Linked DNA regions of Rhinolophus ferrumequinum. The protein of the gene in region 1 interacts with the protein of each later gene in a biochemical or structural test. Links are inferred from orthologs where the notes say so. Each region holds a gene or a part of one and is shown on either strand. Other genes may lie near its edges.

Region 1 (10,746 bases):
AGCGGACTAGGTGGAGCAGAGGATTGAATCAGTGATTTGGAAGACAAGGTAGCAGAAAACACCCAATCAAAGCAGCAAAAAGAAAAAAAATCCAAGAAAATGAGGATAGTTTCAGAGACCTCTGGGACAACATCACGGTAACAACATTCACATTATAAGGGTACCAGAAGGAGAAGAGAGAAAGCAAGGGATTGAGAACCTTTTGAAGAAATAATGACTGAAAACTTTCGTAACCTGGTGAAGGAAATAAACATACAAGTCCAGGAAGCATAGAGTCCCAAACAAGATGAACCCAAACAGGCCCACACCAAGACACATTATAATTAAAATGGCAAAGGTTAAAGACAAAGAGAGAATCCTAAAAGCAGCAAGAGAAAGGCAACTACCATGTTTCCCCGAAAATAAGACCTAGCTGGACAATAAGCTCTAATGCGTCTTTTGGAGCAAAAATTAATATAAGATCTGGTCTTATTTTACTATAAGACCAGATATTATATAATGTAACATAATATAATGTAATATAATATAATATAATATAATATAATATAATATAATATAATATAAGGTCTTTTACTAATTTTTGCTCCAAAAGACTCATTAGAGCTGATTGTCCAGCTGGGTCTTATTTTTGGGGAAACAGGGTATGATCAAGGATCCTGCTTGGTGAGATGTGTAGGGTACTATTCTGTCCCGCTCTTTGCCCTCCTGGTTGATTCTGGGCTTGGATGGAGGAATGAAATCTTTGCCTGCTTTGGGAGAAGAGGAGCCAAGGTGGAGATAGAACACGATAGTCCAGGATGAACAGGTATAATGAACCCTACTCGTCTCAAGTTTTATAGTGAAGGTCCCAGGATATACGCCCGGAAGGGTGTGGCTTGCAGAACATGGCACTGCGTTCTTGCCAGATACTTCTCTTGAGCTCTGACCCACACAAATTCTGACTCTCACCACCAGAGGGAACCCCAAACTCAGTATGATTTTGAAGGTTGGGGAGGTGTTGTCTTCCAAGTTTTGAACAACCCTGTACCCCTCACAATATCCTATTTTTCACCTAAAATTTTTCCTCACACGTTTAAATGGCTGCAAAGGATGTAACTCCAGGTTATTGCAAATATTGATATATTTAAAAAACAAAACTGTTATGTGACTCTTTGTATTCAGTGATACCTAAATACCATACCAATTTGATACACACCATTTAAAAATACATAAATAAGTTCTTCTTTAACCATTCCTTTCTCTTCATAAACTTGTCTTACCATCCACTTCCCTCACCTAATTTTATCCTAATATATGTTATGTTTGGAAGTCTTTTATGGATTATTCTTATCATACTTCTCAACAAAAATACAAATTGAAATTTAAGGAAATTTTATATCCTATGAACAAAAGTCTCTAAGTACTGAAGAGTTTCTTCTGGTTAGGGTTATCATCGCCATTATTAGTAATGTATATTTGATTAAAGCAATATAAATATGTTGCCAGTTTTGATAAATAATTGTTAAACTAAAAAAAGTAAAATTTTATTGGAAATCCATCTCTTAATGAGGTAAATGGCATTGTTTTTATTTTCCAATCAGTTTATTTATCTCTCTGCTGGAATAAGACACATAATTAACATCAATTCTGTTTCCTTCTTTTTTTGTTATAGACACTGGTACTAAGAAACTTTTTCATATAGATTAGTAGAAGGGAACGGAAGGGGTTTTTTTAAAGCAAGGTCACAAAATTGTTTGAACTCTTGAGTTATATGCCAGAAATCTCACAGTGGTCCATCTTTTGTAACTATTTTCAATGATCTATCAGCTGACAATATGATCAATTCTTACTGTCCTTCCGTGGTTATGTGGGGTTCCCATAGCATTAATATCGTCTTCCCTGAGTATTTATGCCATCAGTCTGTGGCCCACCTCCACTGTGAGTTTGTTCCTTCAGTCTGGGAAGAAACACTTCACACCATACGAACAGTGTATGCTGCACTCTTTTTAGGTTTTAGGCAATAAGTTTTATTTAGAAAACTGGGATAGTGGACATATCTGATTTTATCTTTTAATTGTCAGGCACAATACATGATTTATAATTTTCTGGAGTTAAGTTTAACAAAAGTAAATTATTCTAGTACCTTCTATCAGAAGGTTCTAAAACCACAAGCCTACAGCAATGATTAGTGACTTTCTTGCCTCCGTGTTCACCTTACTTTTCATTCACCCTTAAACTTAAAATTACAAAATGAATATTGTATATAAAATTTTTTTTAACATTGAAAATGGGTTAAACAATAAGACACAGATTATCCTGAACTTAATTCAATAGTATTGATACCATGGTTTGATTTACTTCATCATCTCTGTCCTTATGTCTTTATCTTTTCAGAGTCAGCATATCACCTACCCATCTACTGAGAGACAGATGAATGTAGGTACTTGAGTTAAATCTTTGGGACCAGAATATGTCAGAGATTCAAAACTAGGAAACAGAATTTGAGGACTACCTGTTTCCAGAAAGATTCTGCCAGAGTCATAGGTGAGCAGACCAAGCCCTTTCTGATAGTACCAGAGATGTAATCTCCCCGCTCACATTTCCTGGGAATCAGAGTAACTCTCTCATCTGACCTTTTCATAACTTCCTTCAGCTAATATCATATTCAAGGGTGATTGAAATTATATATTTCCCATCAGGTGTAAACAAATTTCCCTCTCTACCTGCTTGTTTCCTCTGTTCCTGCCATGTTCTTCTAGTGCAGCCAAGATGCCAAATAAAATGACTGAGTCTCCAAATACGGTTATCGGTGAAACTGAAAGCGTGTCAGACTGAAAGTGTTAGTCATCATTCAAATTCCCCCAAAATTCCAGTTTATAACCACTCCCCAGAAATTCCCATGTATAAATAGAGACATCAAGAATGAATTTCTTTTCTTTTTAAATCCACACCCCTCATTTCTAAAAAATGAGTTTACCACACAATGCCACCCATGGCAGGTCCACTGTTCTGATCAAAGCAACCATAAATAAAGCTGAAAAGCCAGAGCTTCCTGTTACTTTTCACTTTTCTACTAAGAATTGATAACATTCAGCATTAAGCTTCACCGTCATGCAAAGGTTGTTTAAGGATTTTCTGATTTTACTCAGGAGTTCCTTGATTCCACAAAACCTATAGCAACAAACACACAAACACAAATTGGGAAGAATTCTTCACCTCAAATAACTGAGGTTGAAGCCACTAAATGTCAGTCGTAGGAACAACAGAAAGAAGGCAAATTAATAAAATACAGCAAGAATAACAAAAGTTGAATTATTGGGTCAAAGAGAATATGCATTTTGATTTTGATAGACCCTGCCAGATATCCCTCCGAGGTGTTGTACCAATTTGTCGTTTCACCAGGAATTTATGAGTCGCTATTTCCACACAACCTTGCCATCATAGCATGTTATCAATTTTTTTCCAGTCTGATAGGTAAAAAGTGGTATCTGGTGTAGTTTTAATTTATATTTATCTCATTATGAGTGAGGTTAAGTAATTTTTCATATATTTGTGAACCATATTTCCTTTTCAGGGAATCATATTTTCATACCCTTTGTCCAGTTTTCTATTTTGGTCTCTTATCAAATTGTAAGAGCTCTTTATATATTAAAGATATTTGTCTTTGATGTGAATTGACAATAATTTCCCCCATTGGGCCATTTATTTGTCTTTTGCCTTGACTAAGAAGTTGATTTGGCCCAAGATAAAGCATTTTCATTTCAAAGATTATGTGTTTATGTACCCAAAGGAGCCTATTGAGACAGACTCTTATTTGGAAAGACAGAAATCTACCAGCTTTGTAGGCACTACTAGGCCAGTGGGCAATGCCTGCAAGTCCCAGATGAGGAAAAGGGAACTGAAATTCCTGTGCAGTGTGTGCAGAGTCCTTTCCGAGATGGGCAGGGAACACTGGCAGACACGGCATGTTTGGTAACACATTTCTCTTCCTTAATATGGATTTAGGTGTACATTCCGCCTAAGGCTTTCCATCAGAGAATGGAAGGGCACTAGGAGGAGGAGTCCTGCCTCCCCTCTCCTGGTGGAGGGTGTGAGGGGGTATGCAAAGCCTGGGTCAGACTATCTGCCTTAGGGCCCCCTGGTGTTATTCTAGACTCAATATGTCCATATTTGGAAATGTACTGCTGGGGCTAATCGTGTTCTGGGGGTTGTCCCGGTGTAGTGAGAGGGACAGACCCTGACCCGAGACTTTATCCACAGCGCCCCGTTGAGATAACACTCTGCCTGCGTGCACCGACCTATGCCCTCAGGTCGCACCCCATGACAGTGCTAGAGCAGGTCCAAGGATGGGCTAACAGCCTCATCCCAGCAAACTTTCTGGGGTCTGAGACGGACTCTTTCTAGCTTCCATTCTCAGTCCACCTTCCCGAGGCCGATCTAACCATCATCTCGCAAAGAGAGTTCTGCCAGGACCTGTGCTCAACCACCTGGGCTCTGGCCCTGTTCTCAGTGCATTTCTCAAATTGCACTTAGTTGTTCTGCATACTGTCTATTTTCCTCCACTGGACACACGGACACAGCCCGAACCACAGGTTTATTTGTATTTACCACAGCACGGGGCAGAGTGCTTCCGAAGTACCGCTTCGGATCTCCATCGATCTCGTCGTGGAGAGTGTGATGGATACGAGGTTTGCAGGGCCGGCATCGGGCAGCGAAGCTCAGGGCCAGGAGCAGGGAAGTTCGGGTGAAGTCACCAAACTTCCCCCTGAGAGGCGGCGGTGGTGGGTGATGGAGGGGGATAAAACCCAGAGGTTTAGGGGGGACAACGCATTTGGTCCGGCTTAGACGGAGGGGCGGGTGAGGGGTAGGGACCCTGCTGCAGGAGGTCCAGACCCAACCTCTGGGTCTTCCTGCAACGTGCTCTGGCCTCTTTCAAGGCTTTTGGAGAAACGAAGCCAGGCTCAATTTCCTCTGAAGGTGGGCAAACTGGGCCTGGCCAGCGGTTCCGCGGCGACACAGCCCCGGCTCCCGCGGTCTCCACCTCCCTCAATCCAGCCAGGTCCTCGCCCTGGCCCCGCCCGCCCTGGCCCCGCCCACAACCCTCCCCCGCTCGGTTAGCCCCGCCCACAGCCTGCCCAGGACCCCCGCCCAAGGACCGCCCCCGTATTAGCCCCGTTCATAAGCCTTCTTCCCGGTCGCGCGGGGGCGGCGGCGGGGCGGGGCCAGCCTCACCCGGAATGAAAACAAACGGCGGCCGCTGCCGCATCCGGGCACTCGGCGGGTCGCAGCGAGCACTGTGGTGGCGAGGTGAGGCGACAGCGGCCAAGCGTCCAGTCCTGGACTCGGGGTCTCAGCGGCGCGGCTTGGCGACCTCCGTCCCTGCCGCGATCGCGACGCCTCCCCCTCCCGAATCAGGTGCTGCCGCAGCGGCGGGCGGTGGGCGCCCTGCGCGGAGGCCCGGCCGGGACCGGGACCGGGACCGGGACCGGGACCGGGACCGCGACCGGGACCGCGACCGGGACCGCGACCGGGACCGCGACCGGGGGTTGCAGGTTGGGGCTTCGGGACGCGCCGGCGGTTCGCGGGGCTCTAGGTTTGCGCTGGGCTGGGCGGGGGGTGGTGAGGTATTAAAAAAAAATGCTGTTTTCGAGGGGGAGACAAATATATGTATACATTAAAATTAATTAGCCACACAAAAGCTTGAATCATAACGCAGTTATTCCACATGTTCCCTTTGGGATTTATTTGCAATCAAAGCCTGATTTTCTTTGCTGTTTAATGAGAGAACACGTTTGATTTTCTCCAACCTCGACGATCTGATTCTGTATTTCTCACCTTCCCTTACTCTTGTTTGTTACTACAAGAATCTTTTACTCCGCCTGAGAAAAAATTTAATGTATTTTGAATATATGTGTTTGAGGGGCTCTGGGTAAAGGTTGCGTAGATCAATTTATTTCAAAAGTGAAAGTGAAAATTTTCAAGGCGCGGTTTATGGTTTATAACGTTTCACTTTGAGTTTGGAGCGGTGGTTAGTGGATTTCTCCTTTTTGGGGGCTGTACGTGGAACATTGTATGGCACGCACAAAACTTTCATTTCTCCAGTTAAAACCGAAAACTGATCTTTTAAACCTTTTTTTCCTTTTGATTTGATTTAAAAATCTGTATGTTCAATTATTGTGTTATCTCTAACTGGAGTTTTGTTAAGTTTCACAACAGTGGTTTCATCTTTGGTTAAACATTAAGTGGTGCAGCCGGTAGAGCCTCCTTGCTAGTTATTAATATTTGCCCGGTGGGTGGAGTGAGGGACACACTGGGTGTATGAAACCTTTTGGGCCTTCTGTTGGTAGTTTCTTGGAGGGGATGGCAGAGGGCTGTGCATTCAGCCTTCCAAAGCTTTGCTCCAGTAAGCAGCCGGTGAAATGTCCCCCGCCCCCCATGATATTTTATGCAGAATTTCTGAAGATTTATGAGTAGGGAATTAACTTTGAGTGGTGGTCGTGTAAGTGATGTGTGTTTGAGAAGCTAATACCATCAGGACTAATACGTTTTTCTGTGTGAGAAGCAGTTCTCTAGTGCTGAAAGTCTAAGGTTCTTTTGTAGGTTGCCTGTTGGCACACAACCCCCGCCTTGAACGTATTTATTTCTTCCTTTCCTCCTCCTGTCCTGTTTATCCTCTTTCTCTCTCAAACTGATATAAAATAGATTAGAACTGTCTTTTAAAATACTAATTTATGGAATACACTTAAGTTTTCAAACTTGATTAAAAAATCAGCTGATTGGGTTTGGGGGAGTGTGGAATAGAGGCCCCGAAGAGAAAAAAGAAAGTTACTTCTCTAGGTTACCTTAACTCATATATTTTTCACTCTCTAGAATTTGTCTTCATCCTTCAGGATCTAATAACTTTTTACTCTTCTTACCGCTTGTCTGATTAGGCTGCACTACCCCTTTCAGCTGTTTCATACCCCAGGCAGCCTCGCCCACCCCTTTGAATTGCTCTGCTACTGAGGGCTGCGTAGCCAGCTCTGATGCCGGCAGGTGTTTCTTTGGGTGAGAGCAGTTAGTTACACACAGGACAGAGAAGCAGCAAGGGGTTTTGTGACGGAATGCAGAGTCGGATGTTGTAGGCAGCCGTCCCAGTGCTAGTGGGGTGCTGCCTAATTTTGTGACCTTGTCGGAGTCATTTTACAAACCTGGGGCCTGCGTTTTATCAGCTGTAAAATGATGAGCCAACCAATCTGTTATATATGTAGATCTGCTGTTGTGCTGTTGTCGTAAATATCACGCAATACTTTTCTAGTATTGTCAATACTAATTAATTAAAAACATTCAGATATAGGGAATATCTGGTATTGATAGTTCACGGCTCAACTAACTTATCTTTATGTTTTCCTACCAGGATAGTTAGTCTTTTGTTTCATGTTAAACTAGCCAAAAGATGAGAGACTTTATAAGCTCTGTGTTGTGTCTTATGAAAGTTCACTACTTTAGGAATTCATCTTTCTCTTATCTTTTCTCTTAGATCATAGAATAACAGATTAAGAAATAGAAAAGTGTGATAACCTTGCTACATATTAGCAACTTTGAAATACATATTTTAATGTACATACAATATATAATTGAATATATAATATATATTTCAGTATGTATGTTATACACAGAGGGTGCCGAAAAAAATGTATACACATTTTAAGAAAGGAAAACACTGTTAAACTTCTAATACTCAATATATACCGATAACGAAAAATGAATACAAGTCACATTTGAGTTCTGCAATTATAAGAGGTGCTCAAAGTGGTTACCATCAGTGTCCAGACACTTCTGATTATGGCGAACTACTACTTGAGCAACGTTGACCAAAGTGTCCACTTGTATACATTTTTTTGGCCTCCCCCGGTATATATTTTAGAGACATCTAGAGCTAGTTAAAACCTAATCTAAAAGTAATTGAGATTAAACTGGAGTGGGAAGAGTGTAGGGGACCTCTGCTTACTCTATAAAACACATCAACGTATTAGGTAGTTGTAAGACACTTTGAAAATGTGGTGTGGGTTATCATGTTGTGTTGTTTTGCTTTCAAGAATGGAGCAAAAGAAATATCTCCAAGCAAAACTGACCCAGTTTTTAAGGGAAGACAGAATTCAACTTTGGAAACCTCCATATACAGATGAAAATAAAGAAGCTAGTTTGGCATTGACGGTATTTTTCTTTTAAGATATAAATAATTAGCAGTGTTGTGTCTCCTTGGTGTCGACATAAGAATGTCCAAACTTGTAGAAATGTTTTCTGTTTTTTTTCCCCTCCAGTGGAGTTGTTCAGTTTGCTATTCCTTAAAGTAATTTTTTATATATTACAGTCACATAAGCGATAGCCCACCTTTCTATTCCCCCCTAGGATAATCCCAGTTATTTTCACTTTTTCTGTTGGGTCTGTTTTCCTACCCTTTTTTTGTTTTTATTTTTCCCTGGATCCTCTCTAACCTCTATACCTATTAAGATGTCAAACCAGTCTGGATTTCGCTGTAATAGGGGCGACCACTTGTCATCAGTTTTTGCCTTAGAGTCCTGCATGGACTGTTCTGTATTTTGCCACCCCCAGCTTTTTTTGAGTTGGCGCTACATTGATCAGTGTTTGCTGATATTTCTTCATAGGACCTCGCTAAGAAGTACGCGGACAAGCTAAAATGTCATGGAAATGAAGTAGAAAAGATACTAGAAGAAATACGTTGCAAAGCAATCGAGCGTGGCACAAGAAATGAAAATTTTAAGACAAAAGGAATTGCCACGATTGAGGTATTTCTACCTCGACAGCGAAGAAAAGTGAGTAATTTTCTCAAATTTACGTAGGTTCTAATGCTTAGTTAACTTAGTGATGTGATTGACTAAATTAAGATTTTTTTTTTAAAGCAACAGTCTGAAGTTACTTTCTTTATCTTATTTTTGAATAGGATAGGAACACCCTGTTGGAGACCCGATTGCACGTTAGTGGCAAAGAACTGAGGTCTAAGTAAGTACCTGTGTGCCCGGTGCCCCGGGTCCTGTTCCATTGGCTCGTTGGATCCTGTGGCCAGCCTCAAGAAGACAGAGGGCAGGTGTTATTCTCCTCACTTTAGGGAAGGGAAAATTGAGGCTTTGAGGCTGCAGGACTTACTCAGGCTCACACTGGTAGTTAAGTGCAAGTGAGAACTCGAAACTGGCACCACATTTCTTCCTGTCCTGGCACAACTTGAGTCATTGTCACAAATTATGATTTTGCAACCAGTACTAGTGATTTAGAATTTTTGGTGGGAACTCAGAGTCCACCACTTAACAGGTACTTGCTACATGTTTGAATTAATGAATGAGTGATAGAAATAGGAGACAGCCTGGTGTTCACCACATCATTAGCTTTGAACTTGCTTCCTCAGTGCACTAACAGCTTGCTGGGATGATCAGCAAAGTGTTTTAGCCGATTTCAGGCAGTTGGCTGATCTGCAAAAAGAAAAAATACCTGCCTGTCACACACTAGTGAAATTCTAACTTTTGAGTCTTGGTTGGTTATTCCATCCACTGGTATATTTTTGAATGACAAGTCTTTTCAGCACCTCCAGGGCTAGCCAAGCCCGGGTTTCTGAAGCTGATTTTTCTCACTTTCTTCTTTGGTCTACATCGGGGCTGTTAGGGTTGGATTCAGGAGGCATCATTCATTCAACCTGCATGAGCAGGAGATTGTGTGGAACAGCCACCTACTATGGGTTCCTCCCAGGAGACCGTGGAAGATAGAGAATGTACTTTCTCCTGACATGCATCTAGGGCTCACCTGTTCAAATGGATGTGCCACACCAGTGGTCTCCACTTGAGGAGGAAACAAGTAGTATAACAGTTTGAAAAGGAACATATCTCTTGCGCAGTTTCAAGTAACCATCTTGTAAGCTGGCTTTATCGTGAAGTGATGTTTGTAAGTCAGTAAATTGAAATAGTGCGTGTTTCTGAGTAAAACGTATAAAATAGCTATCATGACTAAAATCTTAATGGAAAATAACAAATTTGATTACCTACAGTTTTCACTGGTTTGTTTTACAGAATAGCTGAAACCTTTGGATTTCAAGAAAATTATATCAAAATTATCATAAATAAGAAACAACTTCAACTAGGTATGTTATGGCAAACTATGCAGCATTTTAAAATCAAGAAATAATGACTTTGTAACTTTTTTTCTCTTTATTCACAAATTTCTAGTGATTTTATTGCATGTATAATCCAAAAACAATTATTTTAGAGTTTACTAAAATAAAAATGTAAAGCAGAAAAACTTTTCTAATAAATATCTGTCTGCTAGTAGGGAAGAAAGACACTATCAGTCTGACAAAAGGTTACACAATGGAAGTGTTGGGTGTGCTGAGAGGAAGATTGGGGTTCCAGAACATTCTCCCTGAGGGAGACGAGCTAAAGCTGAGTGAGGACGGGAAGGCTGTGGTGGGGAGTATTCCAGACTGAGAGAGCCTCATGGTGGAGCCACGTGATGGAAATTGAAAGAACTGAGAAAGGGTCCAGGGTGGCCGAGTGTGGACAGTGAGGGAGGGCAACTCTGTTTAAGGCAGAGGTCACACAGGAAAGGGGGTAGCAGTGGCAAAATCACCACCTAGGGGACACTTGGCAAAGTCTAGAGACATTGTTAGTGGTCATGACCTGGTGGCAGGGGGGAGAGGAGGTTGTGCTGTTGTCCCTTAGTTGGTGAGAAGGCCAGGGATGCTTCTGGACATCCTACAAGGCACGGAGCAGCCCCCACAAC
Region 2 (11,096 bases), on another chromosome or scaffold:
CATATATTTGCCCCCTTTTATCCTCTTCTACCACCTCCCCTCCCCCTTTACCCTCTGGTAACCACTAAACTGTTGTCTGTGTCTATGTTGTTTGTCTTGTTAGGATGGCTCCTTTAATCAAGGGTCACATCCCCTCTAGTTGCTCCTTGTTTTTTTGCACACTTCCTACTGACTTCAAACAGTTGATTTTTAAAAATATGTGTTTCATTTTTACAGAAATGTATATATATTTCACTTTTATCATTGTTATTTGTAGGAAAGTTAGTCTAATGTAGGCTATTCTCTTTGTTGTAAATTCTCAGGTTCTTTTATTTTTTTCCCTCTATTTCAGACAACAGTGTAGAACAGTGAATTGTAGAATCCTAAGGTTGGAAGAGCACTTGGGACATTGTTTAATCTTCATTTGATGCACAAAAATTCCTTTATAACTCCCAATCTTCGAATCATCTCAGGCCATTTTTTTTCCCATTCCGTTTTTTCACACGTTACATTTTTTGAGGTTATTCTGTGTTAAAAGCTGCCTGATTTTTACATCCACTTTCTGGACTTAATTCTGTAGACTAGAATTGCCTAACCACATAAGAAATCTCATTTAATCATTACAACAGGCATGTGATGTAGACACTGTTTTTCCTATTGTATGATAAACCACTCATTGTTCTCTACTAGTAGTTTGCCCCTCATCCATACTAGTTCAGTTAGGTTATGCCTACTCAGAGTGAAGACTGTATTTCACTACCTCCTTTGCAGCTTGATGTATCCGTGAGATGCTAGGAAGTGAGATGTAAGAGAAATTTTGTCTGGCTGTTTCCTGGAGCCTTTGTTAAAATGGAGTTGAAGCCCTCTTTTTGACCATCTTCTTTCATCACTTCTGCCATCCTGATTCCTGGAATTGTGTAATGGGTGGAGCACTAGCTACCATTCTGGACCACAAAAATGTGGGTCGGATCCTAAGTCTAGCAGAGTTCAAAGGAGCCTGGCCCTGAGTTTTTATGGAGCAGAACTACATACTATACCTGAATCTTCTACCTCTTGATTTTGATGTGGAGTAAAGTATACTTTTATCTTTTTAAAGCCACATATTTTTAGGTGTCTGCTAATGGTAGTACAGCCTAATCCTAAAGATATTTCCAACTTTCAGAAGAAGTACTAAACTTCAGGGCAGTTAAATAACTTACATGAGAAGTAGGAAGCAGAGCTTGGCCTGACTTTTGCAAAGTGGGCTTGGGCTACTGGCCCACACACCATCCTACAGCTATGAGTGCATTAGTTATTCCATTTATTGTTTTGGCTTAGACAATTTTCACACATTGCTATCAGACCCAGAACTAGGCTCAGTGATTGTCCCTGAGTTACATTTATTTTTGTTTTGGTTAGGTTTGGCATCTGATTTTAGCTAATTTTAGATTCCATTGCTTTCCAATAATATTATAGTATAGATTATCAATCTTTCCAAGTTTTGTGGTATGTAAAATATTAGTGGATGGTCCGTTTTCAGGAGTAGGGAAAGCACAGGGACACAATAGTTAACATATTATAACTACTAGCTCTTCATTGTCATTTGACTGTGCCACCCACCTGCCACCAACACCCAAAAACATTTAAGGTATAATAATAATAATGATAATAATAATAATAATAATAAAAACAGCATGTGAGCAAAAGGACTGCAATCTGAAAGGTGAAGATTCAGGTAGCAACCCAAATTGCACTTTAAAGAGAACAAAAAAAGTCAGGGTTTATAAAGCGAAAAACTGCAACTGTGGTTTTCATGTAGGTCTTCCATGCAAATGAAGGGATCTGGATGGGTTAACAGGGTTTGGTTAGTACAGTATGCAAGTGTGAAAAGGCTCTTTGCAAATGGTCTGATTTCCATGCTAGGGAAGAAGTCCAGGAAGTGGTTTTGTGGTTAGCTTAAAAGTTCAAAATTTCATGAGTGGGATGTACATAAGACAGACTTCTTCCCATCTCCTTGACATAAATGATTCACACTTGGCAACTAGTGATGATCACTGAAACTGGATCTCATTGGTGGGTATTTTATAGCCAGTTCTGTCCTGAGCCAATGACAGCATAAAACAGATACATACACCTTTCCACACTCTCTATCTATCCATCTATCTATCTGACTAACTATTAAATAAGTAAAACATAACAGGACGAAAAACTAAAAAAAATAAATAACAAAAATAAGACAAGGCATGTGATGAAAAGTAAGGCTCTTTCCCATTCTTGTTACTCAGACATTCAGTGTCCCTCCCCAGGAGTAACATTTCCTCCCAGAGATATCATATGCATATTTCAGTGTTTGTATATATATATTTTTTATTTTCTAAACACTAGAATATTATACTATACTTTGAAACTTGTTTTTTTTCAGTTAATTTCACTATCTACACCTTCATTTATTTAGTTCCTTATTGATAAATGTTGTTTTCATTTTTTGTTATAAATAATGCCACCTGAATTATCTTGTACGTAGCTTATTTCATACATATATGGGTATATTAATTGAATAAATTCCTAATGTGGCTCTTTGGTCTCGGCCACAGAAGTGTGATGATGAAGTTCATCCTACGGAAAGCATTGCAATGTGATGCACACATTATGCCGCTGCTGTGGCTCTAAGGCGTACCACCTTCAGAAGTCTACCCGCGGCAAATGTGGCTACGCTGCCAAGCGGAAGAGAGAGTATAACTGGAATGCCAAGGCTAAAAGATGAAATACCACTGGGACTGGTCGAATGAGATACCTGAAAATTGTATACAGCAGATTCAGGCACGGATTCCATGAAAGAACAACACCTAAACCCAAAAGGGCAGCTGTTGCAGCATCCAGTTCCTCTTAAGGATTTCAACGATTAGTTGCACAAAAATTTTTTGTATTAAAAAAAAAATTCCTAACGTGGAATTGTTTGGTTATCGGGTATGTAGATGAAAATTTTTTAAATTATATTTTTGTCATAAACTTTGATATTGCAAATGAATATATATAACTTACATAAACTCTAAAGCATAATTGTGTCAAAATGAACACTCATTTTTTTACATTTTTATAACGGCTTTTTTGCATACATACGTATATGGTCCTAAACACTATATTGTTCAGTTTTGCTTGTGTTTGTTTCTGTTTAGAACATTTATGTTGTAGACCATAACATTACCTTTAATAGAGTGAATATGTTACATCTCTAAATTAAATAATAAGTAACGTACATTAGTACCATTCAATAAATTGCTTTCACCAAACATTAATTTCTCATAGTTAAACTTTAGACTCTGAAAATGACAAGAGATGTCAGAGGGTTCCTAAATGCCTCTTTCCCTGTTGAAAATCTTCAAGTAACTCGTATCTGCATTTAGACTAGGTTTCATTTATTTTAAAAAGTGAACATACTCTGAATTTGAAAGTAGCGTATCTCTTTCCCTCTGTAGTTTTGCATGTGTTGAAGACTTATAAAGCGTGTCGTACTTTATGTAGTCTTCTTGGTCTTGTTTTTTTTCATTCAATAGGTTGCTAGTATATTGATCCATATTGTTGCGTGTAGGTATAATCCATCCATTTTTACTGCTAACGATACTCTACAATTCAGTTATGTGTTTCCCCATTACTAAAGGGTATTTGAGTTGCTTTAGTTTGGCATGTCCATTTTGAATCTGGATAGGTATTTTAGATTGTCCTTTGAGAGTGGACAAGGTTTTATTGTTTTTATGTTTGTTTTCCTTTCCAACCTTCAATAAATGAGAATTCACAGTAACTTTTTGATTGGGTTTGGCTGGCATTGCTGAAGCAATATTCTAGATCTCATAGTAATTTTACAAACTCTTTCATTGACATTATTAGAGAGATGCGAAAGGGGCCTCTGCTCCAGGGAGGACTCAACTGGGGGCAGTGACTAGTCCAATAGCACCCTATCACTAGGGCCGAGTTGGGAGGTTTGTAGCTATCTGAGACATTTGTTTAATAACCTGGCAATATCTCCATAGCGTGATATTTGATCTTGGCTGGTTTCCTGGATTTGATAAAAAGGCAAATGAAAAGAGATCTTTCAGTTCTGCCTCTGAAACAATTTCCTATCACGACCCAGAGGGGAAAACAGATTGATAATGTGGTAAGAAGCAAGGAAGAGGTCAGGTTCCAAGAAGAAATCCTACCTGTGGTCAGTTAAGGGGCACCAGATGTCTTGGACATTCCTCACCCTGGCTTTGGGCTGGGAGGGAATTTCACATAGGAAAGGAGGAGAGAGAGGAGAGGGAAGATCAGAGTCCAGATTTTTTATTTTGTTACTTGAAAGGACACTGTTTCTCAGAATCCAGGTCCTCTCTGGGTAGGGAATCCCCTGAATTATTTTTTCCTGGAGGGATCACAGGCTTGCCCTTGGAGTAACTCTATGCTGGAAATCCCCAGCTCCAGTGGGCGGTTCCTCTATTTGCACGTGGAGTTGCATGGCATTCGCACTTTGAACACTCACAGTCCTGGGGGAGCAGTTCTCATCTATGTTTGCAGCAGGCTGTGACCTCCCTCCAGGCTCTGGCCCTGCAATCACAGGCTCTTTGCTCACCTCTGCCAAATAGGGATATACAGGCTGGTCCAGTGTGGGTGTGCCACCCAGGGATACACCTGCGTACATATAGGCCCTGAAACTCCCTTTGCTCTCATTCATCCTAAGGCCCCTCGTACCCTCTGCTTTCCTTTGGCTCTCTGTATTCCTTCCCCCAACTAGTTCGCTTAGCAACTACTACTAAAACGACTGTGGGTGAGTTAGCTTCTTTCTAATCAATAAGGATACTGACATTTACCTCATTAGAATGCTAGAACAGTTAATGAGTTTCCATTTAATAATGTCTTGTGCAATTCCTGAAATATAATAAATACTCACTAAACAGTTTCCATTTTTATTCACTTACTTATTCATGCATTCATTTAGTAAATATTTATTATTTACAGTGCCAGACAGCTTGTCCAAGTAGTGCTGAAGATACAAGTTAATGGAGACACAATCCTGACCCTCAAGATTCCTACTCTTTAATGGGGGTAAAGGACAAGTAAGCAGATAATCCTATTGCTGGAGAAAAGTGCTCCGAGAGGCTTCCAGAGAGAGTATGAAAAGACAGAAGAGCTGCTACTTACATTGCATACTCTTATAAATTTCATGGAGTTGGGGGCAGAGTTGGAGGGAAAGGTGTGCTCAGTGACCTGGTGGCAGAGAGCTTGGCATATTCAAGGGTATGCAGGGAGTTCAGGGAATCATGCATGGAAGCCCCTAGATGTACAGCTCTGCAGCTCAGATCTGGGCTGTAAGTATAGATCTGAGGGCATCAACAGACATATACTATTACTGGGAAATGTCATTCCTGGGCTCTCCTTCCTGGAGCTTCTGGCTAAGGGTCTCTGCTTCCCCTGAGAATGAACTGGCCCCAAGATGGTGTAGGCTACTGAGGCAAGAATGGAAAACAAGGAAAAGGTACAAGAAGAGAGTGATTTAATTCTAAACAGCTTTAACCATCTACTCTCTTTCTTCTTTCCCAGAAATGACGTGAAGATCTGAGAGCGTAAGGGGCGCAGATAAAATTTGAAATGTGAAAGCAGTTTACTTAAGTCAGGGCACATACAGCTTTTACTTTCTCTTTTCCCAGGCCCATCCCCCATCCCTTTCCTGCTGCAGGGCTTCCGGTTTATCACCCTCAACCTGATATGACATTTTCTGCCTAGTTACTGGTGATGTTTCAGAATACCCAAATCCTATTGGACAGTGGGTGCAGACCCGTCCTTTTCTGCTGTGCTGCAGCCAAAGGTCCCAATCTTGGTTTCTAAACACGGGACAGTAGGAACCTGGAGAGGTATCTGAAAGGAGAATAGAAGGAACAAAGGTTTCCTGCCTATTCCAACAGCACACTTCCCCCTTCATACTCATCCTGTGTGTTTAAAGAAGCATGCCTAACCCCACAAAATGCGTTCAAATAATAATCAGCTTTTCCAATTTGATTAACTGATTATCTAATAAGAGTTTCACATAGAAGAACATAGTTCAGGATAGGCTTTTTGAAATATTGGAATATGCTCTTGGATCCCATTACTTTACGTAGACACTTCTGTGAATCCAAGTTCTGCCAGATGGGAACCCCTGGAATAATACGGGATCATCTGTGATCCATCCGTGAGTGAAGGCCTCAGTGAAAACGCAGCAAACAAAGGTGATAACTTGGCATTTTTACGGGCTTTTTACTTTGAAAAATCTGGAGAACTTTTAATAAGTGCTTTTTTAAATGGGTTTTTTGGCAATGTCCTGAGAGTTGGGGATAGGGAAGTGATTAGTCTGGAATAGTAGGAGGATCAAGAGTGACTGAGTGAATTCCCTGAAGAAGCACAGCTCATGCACTGCTTTGTCCCCGTCCAGATCTCAGGAGCTGGGGAGTGAGCAGCACCTGTAGGTATGTCTGAGATCACGGTAGTGAGGAGTATCCGGGAGTGAAGCTGGGCAAACAGAGGCACTGTGGTGTGAGGGTGAGTGTGTGATTGTTTTAGCGTGTGGACAGTGGGAGTCAGCCTTTGATTGTTGGCTTTGGAATGTTCTCAAGTCATGGTGGATTCAGTTTGCAGTTCCCAGGACAGGATAGGAACAGTGATAGAGAGCTCAAGACCCGGGAATCGAAAGGTCTTTGTAAAGGAGGTTTTATAAACAAAGGTTTGTGAGGCTGGAAGACACTTAGGAATTCTTTCCACTCATCTCATTTGATAAACCAGAAAACCAATATCTAAAATGGTGGACAGACTTGCCCAAGGTAATATAGTAAGTGGCTCCCGTCAGTGGGACTGATCCAGGGTTATTTATCCTATGTTTTCTCAAGTCATGCTTCACACATCCTGCCAGGATAGTGTGAACAGGCTGCTCACTCCACATCAACCCTGACTGTCCTCTCCTGGGCGGCCCTGCTCTCAGGAAAAAACCTGACTGATGAGGGCTCTTAAAAGCAGTAGGAGAAGACCACCAAGCATCAAAGGTCTTTAAGCCATTGAGGCCCAAGGCTGCAGGCTGGTCAGTCATAGCCAGGACAGGAAGTGGTGGGTTGTTGACCGGGGAAAAATTCTCAACAGAGAAGGACCATCCCATATTTGGAAGAAGGAGGGCAAATGGATTGGCTGACAGGAGAAGCGCTTGATCAGAAAGTTTGTTTTGTTTTTTTGACTCACTCCAGCGAAAGTGAAAGAAAATCCATGAGTCCATGCAAGAACAAAGAGCACAGGAAGCTAGACACAGGCAGGGGATTTCCAGCTCAGCCTCCTTGTATATAAGCGGGCGCAGTTCTCCTCATCCTCTGTTTTCTTGGTCTCTGGTTCCTGCTGCTCCCTTCAGTGCAGAGATGCCTTCGACCCTCTGTGTAAGTTGGGATTTGACAATGGGGGTAGGGAAAGAGAAAGTACCTCGAAGGGATGGGGGTCTCAGGAATGGATGAGGGAGTGCCCAGGGAGACATGGTGGCTTCTTGAGGGGATGAGATAGGCATTGATATCTACAGAATGTGAGGGAACATTCTGTGAAGAGAAGCTGGTCATTTGGCTCCTGAGTTCTCTTTTGGGTCAGATCTTGGACCGGCTGTTGTGAGGGATCAATGGTAGGAAGTGGGAGTACGCTTTGTGCTCAACAGGCCTGGCAAGACTCGAAACTGGAAATATTGTCTTAAGCCTTTTTCCTCATCCTGTTTAGGGGCTCATGACTTAAACTTGAACTTCCTTCTCCTCCCAAAAGGGGCGTTCACACAACTCATTTATCCTGAGTTGTTAATGACCTGACACATTACCTTATATAAGAATATAAACACTATGTAGAGAACCTGGAATGAAGGCAATGCTTAGCGCAGGAGTGACAGTCCAGTGAAGAAATGTCTGTGACATGTAAATTGGGAAGATATGTTTGAATGGAGCATGAGGGAGGTCCTGCCAGGCTTTCAAGTGACAACATAGGGGTTAGCTTCTCCATTTTTCAGATTACTGAAGTAAAATTTAGATATAGTCCTTACCTTCTGTGAGTGAGGCCCTGTTTTAATTAAAGGACTAAATCGTATTCTACAATAGATAGATATAAAAACAGGGGAAATACAGAAGAACAAGTAACATTGAACACAGTGTCACTGTACTATGTATTAGGTTGGTGCAAAAGTAATTGTGGTTTTTGCAATTTTTTTTTTTAATTTAAACGGCAATTACTTTTGCACCAACCTAATAAGTTATTATTATAAAGCAGTGAGACATTAAAACAGAAACAAACAGTACAGAGAACATGTTTGTTTCTGACGTGGACATGGAGGGCAGTCCCGCGAGTTTCCCCTTAGGTGCCAAATCTTGGAAATTATCTTTGGGATTTATTTTTAGAATCTGGCGTACACCTTTGAGTACTCTGTAGTTGTATTTAATTTTTGACATTTGACAAAGTTTATCCAGGTAGGAGGCAGGCAAATATGGTGGGAAATTATTAATGATGTTTTGGGGATGAATGAGAGGTATGGTTATAAGGAATAAGACTGCCTTTCTTGTCTGTGTTATAACCTGGAAATTCAAAAAGAGAAGCTCCAAGAGAGGGAGGGACACAGCTTGTTAAAAATCAGCCAGAGGACCAGACAGGCAGTGAAGTGCAGGAGAAACTAAGGAGGGGGAACAAGGGGTACACAACGGGGCAGGCATTCCTGGTAACTGTCTCTTGGCCCTCATTGTCCAGGTGAATGTCCATTCTCAGGAATGGGGACCAATGACCTTCACTGCCAACTTGCATGACAGAGTGAAGAAGATCCAGGAACATGTGCGGTCTGAGACCAAGGTTCCTGTGCAGGACCAGGTCCTCCAGCTGGGCTCGAAGACCCTAAAGCCCCAGAGAAAGCTATCATCTTATGGCATTGACAAGGAGACCACCATCCACCTCACCCTGAAGGTGGTGAGGCCCAGTGATGAGGAGCTGCCCCTGTTTCTGGTGGAGTCAGGTGATGAGGGGCAGAGGCACCTCCTCCAGGTGCGAAGGTCCAGTTCAGTGCCCGAGGTGAAAAAGATGATTGAGACCAAAACTGCTATAACCCCTGAGAAACAGATTGTGACTTGCAATGGAAAGAGACTGGAAGATGGGAAGATCATGGCAGATTATAACATCAGAACGGGCCATTTACTCTTCTTGACACCCTACTGCATTGGAGGGTGACCACCCTGCGGATGGGGTGATCTCTGGAGCAAAGGAGCTTATTTCCTTTTCGCTCTTACTCACCAACCACAACCTTTGATGATTTCTCAAAATTATTGAGAAAGAGGTATATAGAAAGAGTAGATTTAGAGTGGGGAGTCAGACTGCAGAATACTTTTTAACTCTATGATTCTTTGATTCTAACATAATTGATTAAGTGGCAGGATTGTGTATATTACTGAAAACAGAAAATAAAAATTTAAGGCACATTAGAGATAGCATTCAAAGCCAGCTTGCAATTCAGTCCTTCCTTGGTTTCCTCTGACATATAGAAAAACTCCTATTTCCTTTCTCATCCGACAACATAGGAAGTTTTAGGCTGGGATCCACGTTGTACTAATTTCTGTGTTTCCATCTATGTTTAAACCAGTGCTTCATCTATCGTATCACATGGTAATTGTTGAACCAAATTGAATTTCTCCTTATAGAGAACAATGAAACGGTTTACTACGAAGTGAATTAATTACATGATTACAATCTAGTCAATAAAGAATTTAGAAATTCAATTAAACTACTTTCCCTCGCCTTATTTAAAGCTGGTTGGTATGAAATGAAACCTGGCACCGTGCCCCCTCTTACTTGTCCCATACCCAGTGAAAATTGTTCTCATTTCTGGGGATTATGGTAGGCATGGAAATATATTTTCCCTGGGAATCTAGAGATTTGTGTCTGTAGTGGGGGATTTTGGGGGGCAGATTGCTTCAGAAGAGAAAGGACTTTCTGAAAGGTGGGGGATTGTGGACCAGTGTCTGTGCTGCCTGCCTTAGGGCCTGGCAGGTCTTCTGTAAGTTGGGGGCATCTGTTTGGGTGAGGGAGGTGGGGCTTGGTGTCTGGATTGACCCCAACACTCTGCCCAGGTTCTGGCTGACAGAGCTTTTTCCTTTCTGCTTCCTTTAGCACCAGGTTCTTTCTTGGGAACTCGAGTCGCTTTCTCCATCTCACTCCCTTCAATTACTTCTGTGTCTTACTGTCCCTCTCTCATGTCCCCTTACTGGTCACAGACACGTTTTTCTCACAAGCTGAGACATGTCCACCTTCTTCTCCACTAGTCTAGTCCCTTCGTATCTTTAAAACTTGCCAAGAACCACCTCCTTGAAGAAGAGTTTCCCAACTGAACCCCACCCAGCACAAAGCACGCGGATGGGCGTTCCTCCTTCAACTTACGGGTCAAGTGCTCTGCGGTGGGCCCAAGTCCTCTGACTAGGTGGGCATTAGGTTGGGACGATTTCCCGATATCAGAGACCGTGGCTCCTTTTCCTGGATGGGGTCTCCTGTGAGGTAGAGTCTTGTCAATTTGGGAGACTCCTGGTGGCAGACACCGTGGAGACACAAGAACAGGCAGCCGGCTGTCAGGTGGGGACCCACGCGTGTCCACCGCTTTCCTCCGGTCCCCGCTGGACCGCATGCCCCACACGGCGCGGGCCACGGCGCCACTGGAGTCCAGGATGGCCGCGGACGGCACCAGCGGAGGAGCACGCGGCGGCGATCATCTAGCGCTCGCTGGCGTCTCGGCAGCCGCCGCCGCCACAGGCCAGCTGGAGCTGCGCGGGCAGCTCGCTGACGAAGCGATCCGCCTGGCGGGCGAGCCGAGCGCCAGCGCCAGAAGCGCCAGAAGCGGCGGCGCCGGCCAGCGCCCCCCAGAGCTGCGTCGAGCCGCGTCCGGGTCGCGCTGCGGGCGGCACACGGCCGTGGCGCCACCCAGCGCCGGCACCCGCAGGCCGCACCGCGCCGAGCCCGGCGCCAGCGACGCGCTCCGCGGGGCCTCGCAGCCGCAGGGCCGGGGCCGCGCAGGGCGGCCAGCAGCGGCGCGCCACGCTCAAGGCGAAGCCGCCTCCGCCAGGGCCAGGGGGCCGCGGAAGTGGTGCAGCGGCGTG

Evidence for each region.
Region 2: the proteins of NUB1 (region 1) and UBD form a complex in vitro, tested with the Homo sapiens proteins (6 studies listed by BioGRID, with this or other methods). The link is inferred for Rhinolophus ferrumequinum from reciprocal best matches to the Homo sapiens genes NUB1 and UBD.

Annotation. Positions count from the first base shown.
Region 1 is NC_046309.1:3,627,285-3,638,030, reverse strand, and holds the start of NUB1 (NEDD8 ultimate buster 1), read left to right. Parts: upstream 1-5,201; 5' UTR 5,202-5,216; coding exon 5,217-5,300; exon of another isoform or gene 5,301-5,394; intron 5,395-8,057; exon of another isoform or gene 8,058-8,058; coding exon of another isoform or gene 8,059-8,064; coding exon 8,065-8,175; intron 8,176-8,627; coding exon 8,628-8,795; intron 8,796-8,923; coding exon 8,924-8,982; intron 8,983-10,037; coding exon 10,038-10,108; intron 10,109-10,746. UniProt on the Homo sapiens protein: Specific down-regulator of the NEDD8 conjugation system. Recruits NEDD8, UBD, and their conjugates to the proteasome for degradation. Isoform 1 promotes the degradation of NEDD8 more efficiently than isoform 2.
Region 2 is NC_046286.1:537,903-548,998, reverse strand, and holds UBD (ubiquitin D), read left to right. Parts: upstream 1-7,224; 5' UTR 7,225-7,361; coding exon 7,362-7,379; intron 7,380-8,712; coding exon 8,713-9,183; 3' UTR 9,184-9,329; downstream 9,330-11,096. UniProt on the Homo sapiens protein: Ubiquitin-like protein modifier which can be covalently attached to target proteins and subsequently leads to their degradation by the 26S proteasome, in a NUB1-dependent manner.